Linked DNA regions of Arabidopsis thaliana. The protein of the gene in region 2 interacts with the protein of the main gene of each other region in a pairwise test. Each region holds a gene or a part of one and is shown on either strand. Other genes may lie near its edges.

The links.
Region 1: the proteins of MYB105 (region 2) and SAD1 interact in binary tests that used the Arabidopsis thaliana proteins (3 or more experiments, as listed by UniProt).

What each region holds. Positions count from the first base shown.
Region 1 is NC_003076.8:19,808,633-19,818,079, reverse strand, and holds SAD1 (Small nuclear ribonucleoprotein family protein), read right to left. Parts: upstream 4,735-9,447; 5' UTR 4,674-4,734; coding exon 4,640-4,673; intron 4,524-4,639; coding exon 4,400-4,523; intron 3,974-4,399; coding exon 3,901-3,973; intron 3,754-3,900; coding exon 3,718-3,753; 3' UTR 3,526-3,717; downstream 1-3,525. Other genes in the region: KAT5 (peroxisomal 3-keto-acyl-CoA thiolase 2), read left to right, coding at 1,059-1,157, 1,275-1,339, 1,417-1,501, 1,583-1,709, 1,797-1,895, 1,984-2,057, 2,138-2,245, 2,314-2,391 and 6 more; AT5G48860 (uncharacterized protein), read left to right, coding at 5,215-5,481, 6,169-6,429. UniProt on the Arabidopsis thaliana protein: Component of LSM protein complexes, which are involved in RNA processing. Component of the cytoplasmic LSM1-LSM7 complex which is involved in mRNA degradation by promoting decapping and leading to accurate 5'-3' mRNA decay.
Region 2 is NC_003070.9:26,153,136-26,162,495, reverse strand, and holds MYB105 (myb domain protein 105), read right to left. Parts: upstream 4,795-9,360; 5' UTR 4,790-4,794; coding exon 4,318-4,789; intron 4,242-4,317; coding exon 3,873-4,241; intron 3,790-3,872; coding exon 3,590-3,789; 3' UTR 3,402-3,589; downstream 1-3,401. Other genes in the region: AT1G69570 (Dof-type zinc finger DNA-binding family protein), read left to right, coding at 1-725; AT1G69550 (disease resistance protein (TIR-NBS-LRR class)), read left to right, coding at 9,122-9,360. UniProt on the Arabidopsis thaliana protein: Probable transcription factor that involved in boundary specification, meristem initiation and maintenance, and organ patterning. Functions in both lateral organ separation and axillary meristem formation.

The DNA.
Region 1 (9,447 bases), on a different chromosome or scaffold from region 2:
GTTAGATACTTAATAAACAAATAAAAGAAATTAGGTTTGCAAGAAATCTAACATGAATGGAAGGTTAGGTAGGCATAAAAATGAAAGATAAGTAAGGAGGTTGGTAGGAAGAGTGGTGGAGGATCAAAAGAGTATGGCAAAAGAGTTAATTGCCAAATGCAACGTCACTTCTTTCACTCCTCATCTAACTCTCAACACTATTTTTGTATATATAATCTTGAACAATCGGTTATCTCAACATTTGCATATTGTCTACTTTTAGATTTTGATATCTATTGGAACTCTTACTAGCTCATTCATCCGTCGGGTAACTTTCTTGACCTCTCTCCATCTTATCTTTTACGAGTCTTAAAGACTTTACTTATCTAAGAAAATCCGTTTTAGTCTCTCAAAATTGATTTATTAGATGGTATATTCTAGTCACAACAACTATTTTTTGGACGAGAATTTTACAAAATAATTGAAGGATACTTAACTCTTTCTTACTAAACAAAACAACTTAAATCTATATCCGATATGAATTCTTGTGGGTAAAGAATACAAATCATGTATATTATCTGGATATCCAAATTATTCACTAAAATTTTATAAATTATCTCAAATTCTTCTAAATTTGTAAATTACTCAAATTATCAAAATCACTAATACCCAAAATGAGAAGAAACATTTATTGCTTAAAAGTTAGATTCTTCCCACGTGGCCCGGTTTAGTTATAGTTGCCGACGATTAATTTCCGGTCACATTTTTAACGGCGTGAGTTTGTATGTGGCGTAAAACATGTCAAAATGCGATATTTTCGTAACGACGTTAACTTATACAAATACGACAAGACAAGGTTTTGGCAACGAGGCCAATCAGACCAGACTTGTGAGAACTGAGAACGATCGATCAAAAATCTCTCCCACGATAAAAATGAGGACCCTGAAGCTCATTGTACTTAACGTCTTCCCCTTTCCAGAAAAATCAACCAAACCCATTTCAGTTTCCCCGGAAAGTTTTTGTCTTTCAATCACCATTAGAATTCAGCTGCAACACAAGTGTTTGCAACAGAGAGAATCATGGAGAGAGCTATGGAAAGACAAAAGATATTGCTTCGTCATCTCAATCCAGTTTCTTCTTCTAATTCTTCTCTTAAACATGAACCTTCTCTTCTGTCTGTAAGTTTAGTTGTCTTAATCCGTGAGTCTTAATTAGACATTGAAATTGTTTGTGGAAGCTGATGATCTTTAACTCTGTTTTATTATGTGACTCACTTGTGTTTTTGTTAATTTTAGCCTGTGAATTGTGTTTCTGAAGTTTCCCCAATGGCTGCTTTTGGAGATGACATTGTGATTGTAGCGTAAGTATACTCATTGAGTTTGCTTCACTTTCACTTTCTTTAGTTTTCTTTGTTTCTTGATTCTTCTTCTTCTTCAGGGCATATCGTACCGCCATTTGCAAAGCGAGACGTGGAGGTTTCAAAGACACTCTTCCTGATGATCTTCTTGCTTCTGTTCTTAAGGTAAGTCATCAATTAAACCTTGTGCATGCATGGAGTAGTAGTATCAATGATTTCTTATGTTTCATGGTTTGTTCTGATTAGGCTGTAGTGGAAAGAACATCTTTGGATCCAAGTGAAGTTGGTGATATCGTTGTTGGTACCGTGATAGCGCCTGGTTCTCAGAGAGCAATGGAGTGTAGAGTTGCAGCTTATTTTGCTGGTTTTCCTGGTACTAAATCTCATTCAAGAATCAAGATAAACTTAATATCTCACAAGTTGTTGATATGTTTCTTCATCCTTCTCTTTTACGAGCTAGACTCCGTGCCAGTTAGAACTGTCAATAGACAATGCTCATCAGGACTACAAGCAGTTGCTGATGTTGCTGCTTCCATTAGAGCTGGTTATTACGACATTGGTAAGATGCTGCTGCATCAGTTTTTTGTAGTCTCTAGCTGCTTGTATAGGCCATGGGATTGATTCTCTCAACTTTGTGAATTGCATAGGTATTGGTGCTGGAGTGGAATCAATGTCAACTGATCATATTCCTGGAGGCGGCTTTCATGGCTCTAATCCAAGAGTAAGCTATCACAATGAGTGTATAAATTTACTCAACAAGAAGAGTTTTGTGATGATCTTGTAAACTCTACATGGGAATAGGCACAGGATTTCCCAAAAGCCCGTGATTGTTTGCTTCCAATGGGAATTACTTCTGAAAACGTTGCAGAAAGGTTCGGTGTCACAAGAGAAGAGCAAGATATGGCTGCGGTTAGTTAGTTATTCTCTTCACTTTTTTCCTCTCTAGTTCATATAAGTACTGATTCAGTAATAATCAGGTGGAGTCTCACAAACGCGCTGCAGCTGCAATCGCGTCTGGTAAACTCAAGGATGAAATCATTCCTGTTGCTACTAAGGTAAAACAAGAACCTCCCAAACTTCCTTTAAAGCCCTTTTGGTAGAGCTTTCTCAGTAAATGATATTGTTCTTGACAGATTGTGGACCCTGAGACTAAAGCAGAGAAGGCAATCGTCGTATCTGTTGATGACGGTGTACGTCCAAACTCAAACATGGCAGATTTGGCAAAGCTGAAGACTGTCTTTAAACAGAACGGTTCCACCACAGCTGGTTAGAAACAACTCTCTTAACTATCACTGGCATAAGTGAGATCATAGATTGAAGCATTTAAGTATATGTGTTTTGTGTAGGCAATGCTAGTCAGATCAGTGATGGTGCTGGAGCAGTACTGCTAATGAAGAGAAGTTTGGCTATGAAGAAGGGACTTCCCATTCTTGGAGTATTCAGGTAAAATGAATATACAACATTTTGCCAGTTCAAGAAACCGAGCAAATCTGATTCCGGAACAATGCAGGAGTTTTGCTGTTACTGGTGTGGAACCATCTGTAATGGGTATTGGTCCAGCTGTTGCCATTCCCGCTGCAACTAAGCTCGCAGGGCTCAACGTCAGCGATATTGATCTATTCGAGATCAATGAGGTAACAAAATATTTCACATTGGTTTTTTTCCTGTTTCGGAATAATACATACATATAAATCTTTATTGTTGCATTGTTAAACAGGCATTTGCATCTCAGTATGTGTACTCTTGCAAGAAGTTAGAGCTGGATATGGAAAAGGTCAATGTTAATGGAGGAGCCATTGCTATTGGCCATCCCCTGGGTGCTACAGGTTACTACTTACCAAGCTTGTCGTAACTAAATAAAATGCAACATTTGTTACAGGCTAATAGAGTTCTTTTCTATATGTTCAGGAGCTCGATGTGTTGCGACATTGTTGCACGAGATGAAGCGGAGAGGAAAAGATTGCCGCTTTGGAGTAATCTCAATGTGCATAGGTATATATATAAGATTTTTTTTCAGATTGAATTGGATCAATGATTACCTATGTTAATGGTATATGTAAAATGCGAACGTCACAGGCACTGGAATGGGAGCTGCAGCTGTTTTTGAGAGGGGAGACTCTGTTGATAACTTGTCCAACGCTCGTGTGGCTAACGGGGATAGTCATTAGAACATCGAAGAGAGCTTGAATAAGTAGAAGTAATGATGCATTGAGTCTAATAAATATGATGCTTTAGCTCTTTCACATTGCTGAACAATGAAAACTTTTGTCATTCTGAGTTTAAAATCAACTACTTTTCTCTGAACAAAGTGTTAAATCTAAAACCAAAAGTTACATCCTTCCTCACACAAGTCTGAAAACACCAATCAAATCTCGCAAATCTCATTCTCCATCTTCGGGAGACCCACCTGGCACCAGCTGCATCACAAACATTTTCAACACCAGTTTCTTAGCAATTTGACTATTCAAATGACCAACTGTTTATATCAAGATACTTGAAAATTCATCACAAGGAAGTTTATACAACGTATGGCTATGAGTAACCACAAGTGTTTTTTTACTTACAATGGCGATGTTGTTGCCATTGAGTAGAATCTGATCAAGCTTTGTGACCCGTCTTCCTTCTGCCGTAATCTCACTACACAACGATGCTTAGATAAATTAGTAACACACTCTAGTTACAATTCAATCAAGAATTTGTTACAATCAAAACTTGAATCTATGAGATCCTAACTCCAAAGCAACACGGGTTTAAGCATCAATTAACTAATCCTCACACAACCACAAACAACTCAAGTCACCGAAACCACATATGACCCCGCTGAAATAGACTCTATGCATACACAATAAATGTCATTAATCAGCAAATGAATGAACTGTGATGGACATTCACAAATCAGTATTGAGATCAATTACCCAAAAACAAAATCCAAAAGGCTAAGTTCTGCATAATCACATCCATGGTTCAATGTCTATGATTCACCTCCTAAAGTGTAATAGATCAAGCAACATTCCAATTAAACAAGATATGAAGCAATAATCGAAACCCTAAAATCAGACTTACTATTCGGTGACATCTTCAAGAACCATGTTGACATAAACATCGAATCCTTTGAGAATACCAACGAGCTCCTTATCTCCTTTCATTATCACCCAAATCTTAGACCCTATACACCTATCGATTAGCTCTGCACAAACAAACCAAATCGCTCAAAAATTGAAAACCAAAAAATCGCAGATCTAGTTCGATTTTCTTACATATAAGAAGGTGGAAAGTGAGAGATGTGAAGAAAAAATTGCATACCTGAAGGAAGAAGCTGTGAAGGATTGTTCGCCATGACGAAGAACAGTGAGGCAAGTGAAGGGTTTTTGAATTTTCTCTGATTTTTCTTGCTCCGAAGCTTTTTCTGATTTTTCGATTTTTAGGGTATTAATGTTTTACTTTTAGGAAATTTACAAGAGAACCCTCAAACTATCTTTTTGTTTCAAGATTGACTTTTAACTATGGAAAACTTAATATATAAACCTTCAATCTAATTAGAATATTAAGGATAAATAATCACGTCTCAAATCCCTACATTACTAGTACGGAAGTACCTTTCAAATAGTAATATTGGCTTTTGTAAGATATTATGTTACAATGTCATTGGAAAAAACTGTAACCACCTAATTCACTTTACTTTAGTTATAAGGTCAATTTACTTTCGAATTTAATTATGCTAATCTTGAATCATGGATCCATTATACGGATCTATGAAATTTTCTTGTTTCTTCCAAACATAGGTCTACTGAGATTTTATTATTTCTTTGAACGATTGATCTGTAGTAGAGTTATCAAAATGGACGAGTGGCCCGTGTCCAACGCCTAATGGACCGGGCATGGACAAGCCCATTATGAAGCAGGCATTAATGGACATGGGCGTTAACGGACATGGGCATCAGCGGACTGGACGTGATGGACATGGGCGGCCCAATGGTCAAAAAATATTAGGTTTAAGTGTTCGGGCAAAAATAAATTTGGGGAAAAAACATTTCCCCGACGCTTATTTGGCGATTTCTTCTTTCCGGCGATTTCTCCGGCGAGTTCCTTCAACATCTCAACTCCATCACATCATGGATCCTCCTGAGATTCCTAATCCAGTTCAAGTAAGCAAATTCTCGTCATTTTTACTCAATTCGATCTGGGTTTTTGATTACTCAATTCGAAATGATTTTTTGTTACTGTTTTTTGCTTATTGAGAGTGATTTTGACATGGGTCTCTTTCGATTTCTGTTACTATTGTTTGATATAGTGTTCATTGTCTGCATTATGCATAGTATGAACTATGAAGCTTGGTCCTTTGACACCGTGTATTCATGAAACTGCAAATATCAAAAGCTTAGCTCACTAATATGAGTTACTTAAACAGAAAAAAGAATTGGTAGTAAGCACAAAATGGAATTCTACACATCTAATGCTCTCTAGAGCGATTATTTACAAAGAAACATTCAAGCATCTTGCTGAAGCAAATACTATTGTGTTAAAATTTGGTTTTGTTATGCCTATTGGACAACCCATTTGGACATGGACATTAATGGGCACGGGCGTTAATGGACATGTGCCTTAGTGGACATGAACACTATTTGTCCAATATCGAAATGGACATTATTGGACTGGGCTAATGGACATGGACAGCCCGCTGTGACAGCTCTAATCTGTAGCAATCCATGTGCAAAGCTACATCCAAGATTAGCAAAATTAATTGTTAAATACACATTACCAGAAGAATTGAAAAGAAAGTATATAGTTAAGATACCATTTGTATCATTAGATATTCAATCTCGTTGTTGTAGTCATATACTTGGAAGCTTAGAGGATCGAAAAACAAGGTGCAACACATGTTAATGAGGATAGGAACTTATCAAAGATCCTTGCAAGAAGGTATGGAAGTCGTGCTTTACATTATTTCTATAAAGAACAATGTCCATATCTTCTCAGCTACGAGGTATCCGAGAGTAAGGCGAATAAGAAAACATGTTTCAACCAAATCAAGAAACATTTTTCCAGTCAAATTCAAATCAAGAACTCTGTTTTCAGCCAAATCTAAATCATGATCATGTTTTTGTTTTGTGTAGAGAAGACGTTAGGCGTAAGAACACACAAAAACATTAGCATGAAATTATGTGATGTAGTCAGGACCGGCTCAAACATTTTGTAGATCCAGTGCTATTATGTAATCATATCATGTTTTTTTTTTTTTGGACCCTAGACCATATGTCCTAGCACCTTAAGCACATGTGCTAAGCCGGCACTAGATGTAGTTGTAATATTTTATATAAAAAATGTAACATTTTTTTAATCTTCTATGCTTTTTAGTTAACTCAAAATAATCTAACATACCCGTAATTTTTGAAAACAAAAAAAGAATTGTTCAGCATACTTTTGAATGAGTAACCAAAACTCATGCATGATATCACATATGTTTAATAGTGGGCCATATAGACTGCTTCACAAACACCACTTTTAAGTCTTTAGCAAGCTTTCTCCGTTATTATCTTCACGATTGTGTACCCAAAATTGATATGATTCATAAAATGTTGTTGACTTGTTGAGTTCATAAATTCAACCCAAAAGTAAATGAAGAACAATGGACAACAAAAAGAAAGTAATTGTGGAAGATAATTGGTTAAATTAATTCAAATGTCGGTTCTTGCCTTCTTGGTATAGAGGGATTATTCAACTAGTTAGGATCGATTTCAAAATTTATGGAGATAGAAACAATGACAGTTTATATATGTATGTTCTCAAGACAATATTCTATTAAGACCGGCTTTGCACCTAAACAGAATAAATAGATGTAATACGAAATAAATCGAACGAGTGATTTATATGCAAGCATGAACCCATACTCTAAGGAATGAATTAATCAATGGTTCTTATTTTTAATCATGTTAGTTAGATGCAAACCAAATCAATCTTGAATAATGCTGATAAACCGTCTTAATTCATGCGATGTCTCCACTAGTCTCGGATTTCTATAAAATATTCAATATTGACTTATAGCTAAGTCTCAAGTCCGTAGAATTATTGTATATTTTTGTATTCCCCGAAAACACTATTTGCCTTATTGCTTTGTGGTCCAAAATGTTTATCAGTGAGCGGCAAGTCTTGTAAACTAGTGAATAATGCCTCGCAAATTGTCCAGATTCATTGTGTTTTGGCTTATTATTGTATATGCCACAAAACGACTGAGAGTGACGATGATTCGCTACGTTTTTTTTTCTATAATAAAGTTTATAATTATTGATGTGGTTACCACTTAGATATTAAAATCAATTATATCCTTTTCAATGATTCTAATGACGATTGGATAATTAAATTTAGATAATGCTTTTTTGTTTGCTACTTTTTTCTTTTGTAATGAAGATTGAAATGCTTTGCACTAGTTGGGATCGAATCTGCTTATAGTATAGTACTTATATTCCCACAGTACATCCCCGACTTCTTTTTAATGGTATTTGCAACTGATCATGTGTACAAGAATGGACTGATTAATCTCTGAAACATGAATTATAATTTAAGCTAAGAAAAGTAAAGAAAGTACCTAAAATAGATAGTAAAACCTTATAAACATAAATCTAGATACTACTTTAACTGATAAACTTTTTTCTGTGAGGCCATTTTTTCTAATGGATACTAAAATTTATTATGTGCAATTGAATAAAATCTGAATATCACTACAAAAGAAAAAAAAAATGAACAATGGATTGACTAGTAAAACATTTGAATGATTAGTTATTCACTATATATGTAAAGGATGATGTTTGTGATGGTACTATCCAAATTGACAAAAAAAAAAAATCAAAGATATTTCGTCCAAAATAAATTTATGCGACGAGCTGACCTAAGTAATGACTTGTGGTCCGAATCCTTTTCTGTATAGTGTCTTCTGCTAATTATAGGCAAAGAGCTGATATACGCTTCTCTTTGTCTCTCTTGCGATTTCTCCTTTTTATCTTTTCGAATCTATCAGGTTGGGCCAAACTAAAATGGACCGAGCTAAAATATTACTAGACTAAGCCACTGTTATGTTGAGTTGAACCATCTTTATTTGGGTCGAGCCGTTGTCTTAATGGGCCGATGTTCTAATGGACCGTTTTACCATATTAGCAGCTTGTTTGACTTAGTTAATCTTTGTTTGGCCGAATTAGGCATGGAAAACAAAACAAGTATTACATACTAACTATCACAAAACATATCGTAAAAAAGATTATATATTTTTTCATGCAGATTTTTACTATAAAATTTAAAATTAAATGTAATGTATTAATTATAATTAAACTACAATAAATAGAAGTTAAAACAAATATTAGAAAAACTGAAAAGTATTGACTTAAAAATAATATTGTCATTTAATTTGTTCGTCAGATACTCAGATCTTGAGCCATCATGGGCTGTTGAATCTTGAGCCACCTTGAGTTTCTAAAGCTGGTTGTGGCACCATGTGATCCACCTCCCCATGATGTCATTGGAAGCAATTCGCAATCATAAAATGGTATTATTGTCTAGTTTACCATTTTTTGATATTTTGTTTTAAAAATGTCATTTTTACTAAAATTTTACGTATTTATTATTTTTAATATTTAAAAATATACGTATGTACGATATTTTTTTCGCAAAATACATATTGTATATTAAATACTAAATTTTAAAAATAAATAGAACTGACTAAATCCAAATATAAAAGGTAAAATGCATGTTAAATCATAATTTTATTATTTAAAAATGGTAAAAACCACAAATTATTCAAAAATACATAAGCTATAGTTGATTCTTGTCCAAATTTGTGTACGAATTTGCAAACTCGAAAATTCATATACACATAACAACAAAATCCTTAAACTTGTAAATGAATATAATTGACCGTTTTTCACACCATTAAATCGATAAGTCTAAAAACCTTTAGCTGAAACCGAATTACGCTAAAATATTTGACCGAGTAGTCAAGTCGGAAATGGGCACAAGACCATCGAAAGATCTTCTTTTACACACCGTAATAGTGAATACTTACATGCAACATAAATTATTTGACGGTTAAACCCAAATTAATACTCCATAAAAAGACACAAAAT
Region 2 (9,360 bases):
GCAGGAACTGTCAGAGGTATTGGACAGCTGGTGGATCTATGAGGAACGTTCCTGTTGGCTCAGGTCGTCGCAAGAACAAAGGATGGCCTTCTTCAAACCATTACTTGCAAGTCACTTCTGAGGATTGTGATAATAATAACTCGGGGACGATCCTTAGTTTCGGTTCTTCGGAGTCTTCGGTTACAGAGACTGGTAAGCATCAGTCAGGTGATACAGCAAAGATAAGTGCTGATTCAGTTTCTCAAGAAAATAAAAGCTACCAAGGGTTTCTTCCTCCGCAAGTAATGTTACCTAATAATTCTTCTCCTTGGCCTTACCAATGGAGTCCAACGGGTCCTAACGCTAGTTTCTACCCTGTCCCCTTCTACTGGGGATGCACGGTTCCGATATACCCTACCTCAGAGACTTCATCATGTTTAGGAAAACGGTCAAGAGATCAAACTGAAGGAAGAATCAATGATACTAATACAACAATAACTACTACAAGAGCAAGATTGGTCTCAGAATCTCTTAGAATGAATATCGAAGCTAGTAAGAGCGCTGTGTGGTCTAAGTTACCGACAAAACCCGAGAAAAAAACGCAAGGATTCAGTTTGTTCAATGGATTTGACACAAAGGGAAACAGCAACAGAAGTAGCTTGGTCTCCGAAACTTCTCACAGTCTACAAGCAAACCCTGCAGCGATGTCTAGAGCTATGAACTTCAGGGAGAGCATGCAACAATAATCAGACACTAATATAGATATATATTCATGAACTGAGAGATTTGAGTTTGGCTAATTGTTACCTTGTGGAAGAAGGCAAAGCTGTGTAGATAGTTTTGTTGTTTGGAACTAAGAGTAGATATAGTATTTACTGTTGTACACAAACAGAGATATTTTTGGAGCTGTAGATATTTCTCTCCATTGTGTGATGAAGTTGCAACATATATAAACCTTTAGATTAATATCTACGTGATCTATCTTGAACTTACAATTACGTTTTTGCCCATGAATCATGAGATAAATATTATCTCAACTCCAAATTGTCCTCTCTGGTAAATACATGTCAGATGAGCATGAGGTACCAGACTATTAGCTTGTACGATTTTGGTACTTAGTGTAAATGGGTCAAACTAATCTAAGATAAGAGATAAGAAAAGAGGAATATGAAACCAAAGAAAGCAGAGCATCTTTCACTTTCATATTTGGATTAAAGAGAAGAATCCAACCACTGGCACTGAAAAAAAGCTAAAAGAAGAGCATAAAAGTCACTTTTTCTAAAAAGCAATTATTCTTTTTTTTCCAATGTCTTTTTCCATTCTTTTTGCACCTTCACTAATCTTTTATACTACTCATTTTGATTATTACTTGATATGTTGTAATGTTTCTACTTATTAGTATGGATACTTAGCTTGTTGCTCTATACCTATTTTTATAACCATGTAATTCCAAGATTTGGATCATAATCATTTGAGATTTGACACCAATCTTTGTTAATACTTTCGAGTCTTCCATGATCATGAAACGTAAATATAATGTCCTTTCAAATGAGACTTAAATGCAGATTACAAAACTTTAAAACAACAAAAATATTACTTGTTAAACTGTCAGCATTTAAATCTTTCGATTGTCTAATAATTTAATAGAATTATAGCATATCACATTTTGAGAGGCAACCCAAGTTCATGTTATATAGTTGATCTCATATACTATTCTTCCACAAAAAGTAAATAAATGTTTTATTTGTTTTTGAGCTCTACAAATATGTGAAAATTAAAGGTCCATAAAGACTGGTTCTTTTAGCTGCACAAAAAGCTTAAAATCCAGTTACGTTTAAAGAATAAGCAGGGAGGCTACGCATGTTCTTTTCCCAAACCGGAAGACTGTTCTAAGTTGTTGGTGAGTTCTCATTTTTAACAATGGATACCGAAGGAACACAAAAGTTTGAGGTGCTCGAGTGGAGAGAAAGAATAAAGAATAGAAATGTACTTGGAGAGCAAATACTTAAAACCATACGCAACATCGGTAGCTCAAACATATAGAAGGGTTTTGGAAAATTCGTTACCAAGGTCTAGTCATCATAAAAATTGCAAATGATTTATTAACTGGAATCATTATTATCATACGACTAAAGACTAAAGTTATGAAATAGATTTCTTAAATGTGAAAGAAAGGAATAAAGTTAGGTAGACTTTGTAGGAGGCCACTCAGCTTTCACCTGGACCATACGTATATGTTCTCGTAAAGTAGTTCAGCTTTTTTAAGGAAACAAACAGAAAAAATTGTTTTCTTTTTGAATAATAAAAGAAAAAGAAAAAGTCATGAATATTTAATTATTGGATTACATAAGGAACTACATTAACATGAATGTTCCTTTGATAGAGGTTTTGGTTTGATATTTACTTCAACACTTATCTGTTTTCGACGTTTTGATTTAAATTTTAATCAACCAATATATACGTTATTGCTTTTCACTTATCGTTTTAAGAACATCTAATAAATTAGAAACAAAATTGAGATATTCATTCTATATTGGTACTCTCTCGCTCGAGAAATTGAATCACATCGGTTAACATAAAAAAAGAAAAAGTTGAAACACTTCCAAACAAAACTGAAATTGGGTCCGAGAATGGGCCTAAGCCTGGAATAGCAATAGATTTTAAGTGGTGCACATTGCACACTCCTTACCGTTTTATCCTTTTCTTGTGGATCTTATGGAACCTTAAAAAAAAACAATTAACAACGGGAAGTGTTTAGTGAAAAACGGTATTACATAAATTTAATCTTAATTTCATAAATCAATCAATTATTTCGATTTAGTCATAGAAATGTGTTAAGCTGGACTAAAACTACAATGACGTATACAAATAGTATCATGATACAAATCAAATGATTATTACAATGAACAATAACTAGGAGAAGGGGCCATGTGGGTGACATGAGGTCGATGAGACGCATAAGTAAGGGGCAATGAAATGAAAATATGTTTTTGCTTTGGAGAGAATAAAAAAATGCAATGGGTGTGAGAATATTAAAGAGTGGATGTTTGGACTTTCTGTTGCAGAATCTGTGCCTGAATCTTGCAACCTCATCAATATCGCATGTTGTTATTAAACTTCTGCATACTCCAAATAAATACAATGTAGTACATTATTCCTTTTAATTTGACTTCTCTATCGTTCTTTGTCGTTTCTTATATCCACATCATCGTCCCTGTTTTAACATATGTCACCTTCCTCTTCATATACGAAGCATGTTGTTACTCTCACTCCATACAATTTTTGGACATTAATGACGGAATCTGACATTTTCATATAAGATAAGAGTTAGTTAGAACTATAAAGTGGTACAAATGTTTTACACTTCAAATCAATTTTGGTAAAGGTGAGACAATTTGGCATCTACATAAATGAAAGCATTGATTTTAACCAACGAGTGGTATATATGTACGTGCTAATTAACACGGGGTAAGGAATGTTGCATGTGACTAAGGACAACAACATTTAATCTACAATTATTAACGCAACATAACTACATCGACAAGGACTCAAATCATCTCATAACTTTTGTTAACTAACTCAAGCCAGTCTTGTTCATGATCGATGATGATCACACCGTCCCCAACCCAAGAAAATCGAAAAATGGTGGTTTCTTCTCCTCATTGATTCTTTCAAATATCTCACTCTTCCCGGTTTGGTTTAAGAAATCGAATGTAGTTGCCTCTTGTGTCCATGCAATGTAATCGCCAACCATCATTTGGGTTTCGAACATATCCACCATTAATGGACTCTCATTTTCATGATCATAACCTAAATAGTACAAAAAATGGAAGAAAATTAAGAAATGATATGGAATTAAAAACTGAAAGAAAAGAGAACACAAAAACTCAAACCTGGGAAGCAAGGAACTGGTAACATAAGCTGCTTATGGTCACTACTAGCAAGGTGGGTCAAAGCTAACCGGGTAGGGTCAAAATCATTGAAAATGTGAGGATTAGGGTTAATGAGTGGCTTAAGAGAAACCATCGTCTTCCTCCTACGGTAAGAAGAAGATTGTTCCCTAAACTTGCGAGCCATTATAACATGCCAATGGTTCTTCACAGAATTATCAGTCCTACCAGGGAAAAGCCTCGCTATCATCGCCCATTTGTTACCATAAAGCCTATGAGCTTGCATTAGCCTCTCTTCTTCTTCCTCAGTGAAGGCTCTTCTATTTATCCTTGGGTCTAGTTGGTTAAACCATCGAAGCCTACAGCTTTTCCCTGCTCAACATTAACACCCAAAATCTCAAGAACGTGAATCTTGTAAAAGCTTAATCAAGTGACAGAATTAACGTACCGGATCTTCCTTGGAGCTTCTCAGCTATGAGGTTCCAGTTTTGTGGACCGTAGACGGCGACTAGTTCTTTGAGCTTAGTATCTTCAGCTGGTCTCCAATGTCCTCTAGACACCGAAGCTTTTGACGAGTGTCCACAGCTTCTATAGACTGTTGTGTCTTTCTTGTTGCAATTACTGTAATCACTTAGATTAGGGTTCATGTCTTCTTCTCTATGACTTGTGTAGTAGCTACGGAGATGTTGAGCATTGTCGATATTTAAAGAGAAGTAGTCCGATGAAGTGGTCTGATCCATCGAATGGTGTTGATCTTCCGACATGATACAATGTTGTTGTTGGTTATAGTGATGATGTGAGGACGAAGACAAAGAAGACGGGAAGCAAGGTGTTATGGAGAGAGACGCCACGTCAGCATGCACCATCTCCATCCTCATTGGAGGAGAAGAGCAAATATTAAATATGACTTTGAACATCATAATTGATATTTGTGTGATATTATTACGTATGGCTCTAAGCTATGTGCGTGTATGTATATGTTGTGACCTTGTTTTCTGACAAAATGCTGTTATACAACTGTTAAAAGGTTCATGGACTGTCACGGACTGATTTGAAAGCTGATATATATTTCTATACATTTGTATTTATGCATTGTAAATTGTTTTCAACACTCAGTTTAATTTACATTCTAGATATTTTAATTTAGGATTATTGTATAAATAGTATTATTATCTCTGGTTTAAGTTATAACCAAATAGCTATAATCTACATTTACAATAAAATCCAATAACATTTTCACAATAATTGTCACTACTTAATTTTGAAAAAACTAGGAATGTGGAAACGTATAGAGATGAAAGAAATAAATAAAAATGCTAGGACAGAGAAAGAGTAAAGGACAGGGAACACGTTTCCTACGTTGTGAGCAGTGGAGATGTGTTTGGAAAAGTGGAGAGAGATGAAAAGTTGTTAAACATCCGTAAACATCTTTTTTTTTAGTTCAACTGCTTTTGTTCTTTGTTGCCCCAAACAAAACATCATATTATTCTACGATTGCTTGCCAAACAAAATCTTGGTATTATCTTGTTTGAATTTCGAACTATGAATATGATCTTCTTCTTTTTCTTTTTTGTTCAAGTAACAAGGCGATTTCACCCCAAGTTTTAACTATTTTCCGCTTGATACATATGAATTAAGCGTTAGGTATTCTTGTCATTTAATACATTCATAGTGGTCACTGCTCATGCATTATCAAAGTTTTGAATTCTATCTCACAACCAATTTGAATTAACCACTAAACCATCACAAATTGGTTGTTTATTTGTTTTTCCTTTACAAAGAAACCTACAATTTACAGAATCTTTTTTTTTTAAAAAAATAATTAATGATTTTGTTGTTGTTGTTGGTTGCTACCGAAAATTGGAAATAGTAATGAGGATGAAACTAAACATCTGAAGTAGTCCCAACTATAACAGCCAAAAAGGCTCAAAGCATACATTTGATTTGACTCTTGCGTCTTTTATTTTCTAACCACAATTATATCTCTCACGCACACTTCACATGTCTTTTCACCAATCCCCATTTATCTCTCACTCTCGACATTTTGATGGTTTATATGAAACCCTCTTTCTACGTACATAGCCGGTCTCTTCATAATGTGAATGTTAATGATCTTCCCAAACGAGTCCGTTTTTCATATAGTCTTGACTACTTGTTGCCATATCAATTCTACCATTTACTGATTTTAAAATTAACTATCCAACCATATGTCGCAGAATTCGCTGTTATAAATCATTTTTTTAAGGGATCGGCTAGACTTATTAAGTTATTATCGTTAGAATTTCTGTCGCAATATGAATATTCATAACACCATAATGCAATTTTAAAAAAGAATGTAAAGTATTTCTTTTTTTATTATTAATTAATTGTGCAGCTATAAATGCATATACGAAACATATATTATCCCATATATACAAAGGAAATACCTAGGTTTGGTGAGACTTTAAGCATAACGTAGATGTATTTATTTGACCAAAAAGATATCAATTGGCAGAGGAATACATTATCTCAGATTCAGAGTATTTGCTGCAGACTTGTACGGTCCATCTGCAGAGATTAACTCAACATTTCCTATGGTCCTTTTTTCTTGGTCAATAACTTTGAATATATACTTTCTTAATTTACACTAAATTTGTGTCATACAGTAGATGTGAGAATGGATAGTTACTTTTTCAAAGATACGCACTAACAAAGTAACACTAACCATTAGCAGGTTAATTAAGGATATCTACACCCAACCCAATTACCTTCACTTTTATTTTGTTATCATTTGAAAAGAAAAAAAAGTATATGTTATCTACTTATTTAAGTTAACAAGTATTTTTTATTTTATTTTTACAAGTTTTCGGGGTTCGTTTATAAAAAGCCATTAAAAAAAGGTGTTGATTTTTTTGGTGACGTCTGTTTCAATAACTGTAGGGGATAGAATTATTAGAATTGAATTTTCAGTTTTAAATGTGGAACATATACAATATATAATGTCGGGAAAGGAAACAGATTCAGAAATTAATGCATAGGATCCAATTCATATCAACAGAGAAATGTTTTGCGAGTCTACTGTGGTTCATTTTCAAATATGCGACACCACGAACTGATTTTATAGCGTACCATGTTCCATCAATTCAACAACACGTACGTGCATGCTCTGCTCCTCATTTTACTATACCTAAACACACGCACATTGCTCAATTATACATCGATCATTTCGGAGCACATAGTGACATAGCCAACATAGGCAATAGCTAGTTTAATAGACTAGCTTTGGGTCTTACTAGGCACAAAGCCTCATCAAAATATAATACGGAGATTTTAAAAAACAAAACTATGGAATTATTCTACAAACTTCATAGACTAGTTTAGAGTTCCCAAATTCCATAGGTTACAAAAGTGTCTTGTAAGTTTTTATACTTAAAGTTAAGAGTTTTCAACTAGCTTTCGCTAAAATCGAGTTTAGTACGTTTCATTTGATTGGATTCAACCTGCTTTTGGTTTAGGATGATTTCGAACCGACCGAAAAAACTATACAACATGGTGGATTGGACATTAAAACAGGAAAACAAGTGATGATCGCATAAATGAACAAGAGACTGAAACAGGAGGATTTTTTTAAAAACAATGTGGACATGTACACGAAGAAGACTCACTGTTCTTAGAGTCAACAAAAACCTCATGATGTGAAAGCTAACCAAATAGTAACAATCTCTCAAATATGGGAAACGAATTCCCTAAATATAATGACCTGTCTATTATCATAGCCCCATTGCTCTATTTTGGGAAATTTTATAACCTTTTTCTCCTCAAATCATCACCAACACAACCAACAAAAAATGTAAAACCGTACCTTCAATCAACACTATAGATGTTGTGGCCTCATTCATTACATTCAAATACAGAACTACGTATATGAGTTGTCACGTAAAGGAGCAAGAAATTTTAGCCTTCTTTAAAGTTTTCACCTAGATTATACATTTTTTTGCAACATTTTTTTCAACCTGGTCTAGAGAGGTTATAATTTTTACCGACAACATTCCAAAGTTTCAGTATTCGATCGGCAATAGATATTTGCATGAAATTGTGAATAAATTGTTGGAATAAGCAAGCTGATAATCCGTACCAAAAATTGAAGAAGCATAAGGAGAATAAGTTTAAGCAAAGAGGCTGAGCAAAGTCCTTCAATGAGACTAATTTTCTTTCTTATTAATTTAAACAATATTAATTAATTACCATTATTAGTTTCTTTCATTTTAAACACAAAAATTAATTCTAATTTTACTAATTAATTTCTCTGTGATATTTATGTATTGCTTTTCAAATATTCAAGTAATGTTTTATATTATAAATTAAATTCAAGTACTGTTTTATATTATTATGTAAATTGAAAATACAAAAAATAATATAACTAGACTAATTTGGTAATTTGGTTTTCTAACCACACTCAAATCGCATCGAAATCAATTTGTCATTCAAATATGATGTACTCTCATCGCAAATAAGAAAAAATACATTACGGCACACATTACACATAAAAGCCCATAATGTTACACTTTGATAAATAAATCCTAGTGTCTATTATTGGGTTATTTTGGGCCTAAAAGCATACATTACACATTAAAAGCCCATAGTGTTTATCATCATCCTCATCGTTGCTGCTTCTCTCCTTCCTCTTCCGCAATTGATTTTCTCTACAAATTCCTTCAGCGCTGCAACCAACAGAAGCGACGTAATCCTCATCGTAGGTTCCCGAATAGACTCCAGCGTGATCAACGACTCCGATCCGCTTCTAAAATGTATTTCAGTTTTCATCAATTGTTTATACGAGAAGAAGAGAACGAACAAGATTCTACGAACCGGTTCAGATTCCGGTTCTCATCCACAATGGTAAACCGGTTCGCCACATTCTGGATTGATTTCATCGAAACCAATGTACCAAAATCCAAAACCCCTCCTTTTGTTATACTTTTTTTCATTAAAAGGCTTAGCATAATTAGATAGTCCATTAATTATACAAGCCCATTGAGCCCATAACGTATTAATCTGATCTATATACATTATATTTTTTTCTCAATTCCTTGTCGACCACACAAAAGTAAACATCCGTGAAGCTTGCTATTGACTTACTGTAGCGTTGAGTCAATGGAGTCAAGATAATGTGTTCAATAATGTATCACAAATCCATCTTTGTTCATTCATCCTTCGTATAGCTTTGCTGAGAAGTAAAAAATCTCTGTTGATCTTGATCCTCTCTCAGTCTTATGCTAATGGATTCTTCTTTTTTCCTTACCATTGTTGCTGCTGCTTTTGCAATAGGCTTCTTCATCTTTCTTAGAAAGTTGAGAATCCATCAAGAAAACGAAGATGTGGGTTCTTCTTCTACATCTCCTCCATCGTCTTTGGCGTCTTCAACATCTCCTCCATCTACGTTGTCTTCTTCAACATCTCATCCGTCTTCTTCAACTTCTCCTCCATCATCTTTGTCTTGCACCGGGACTCA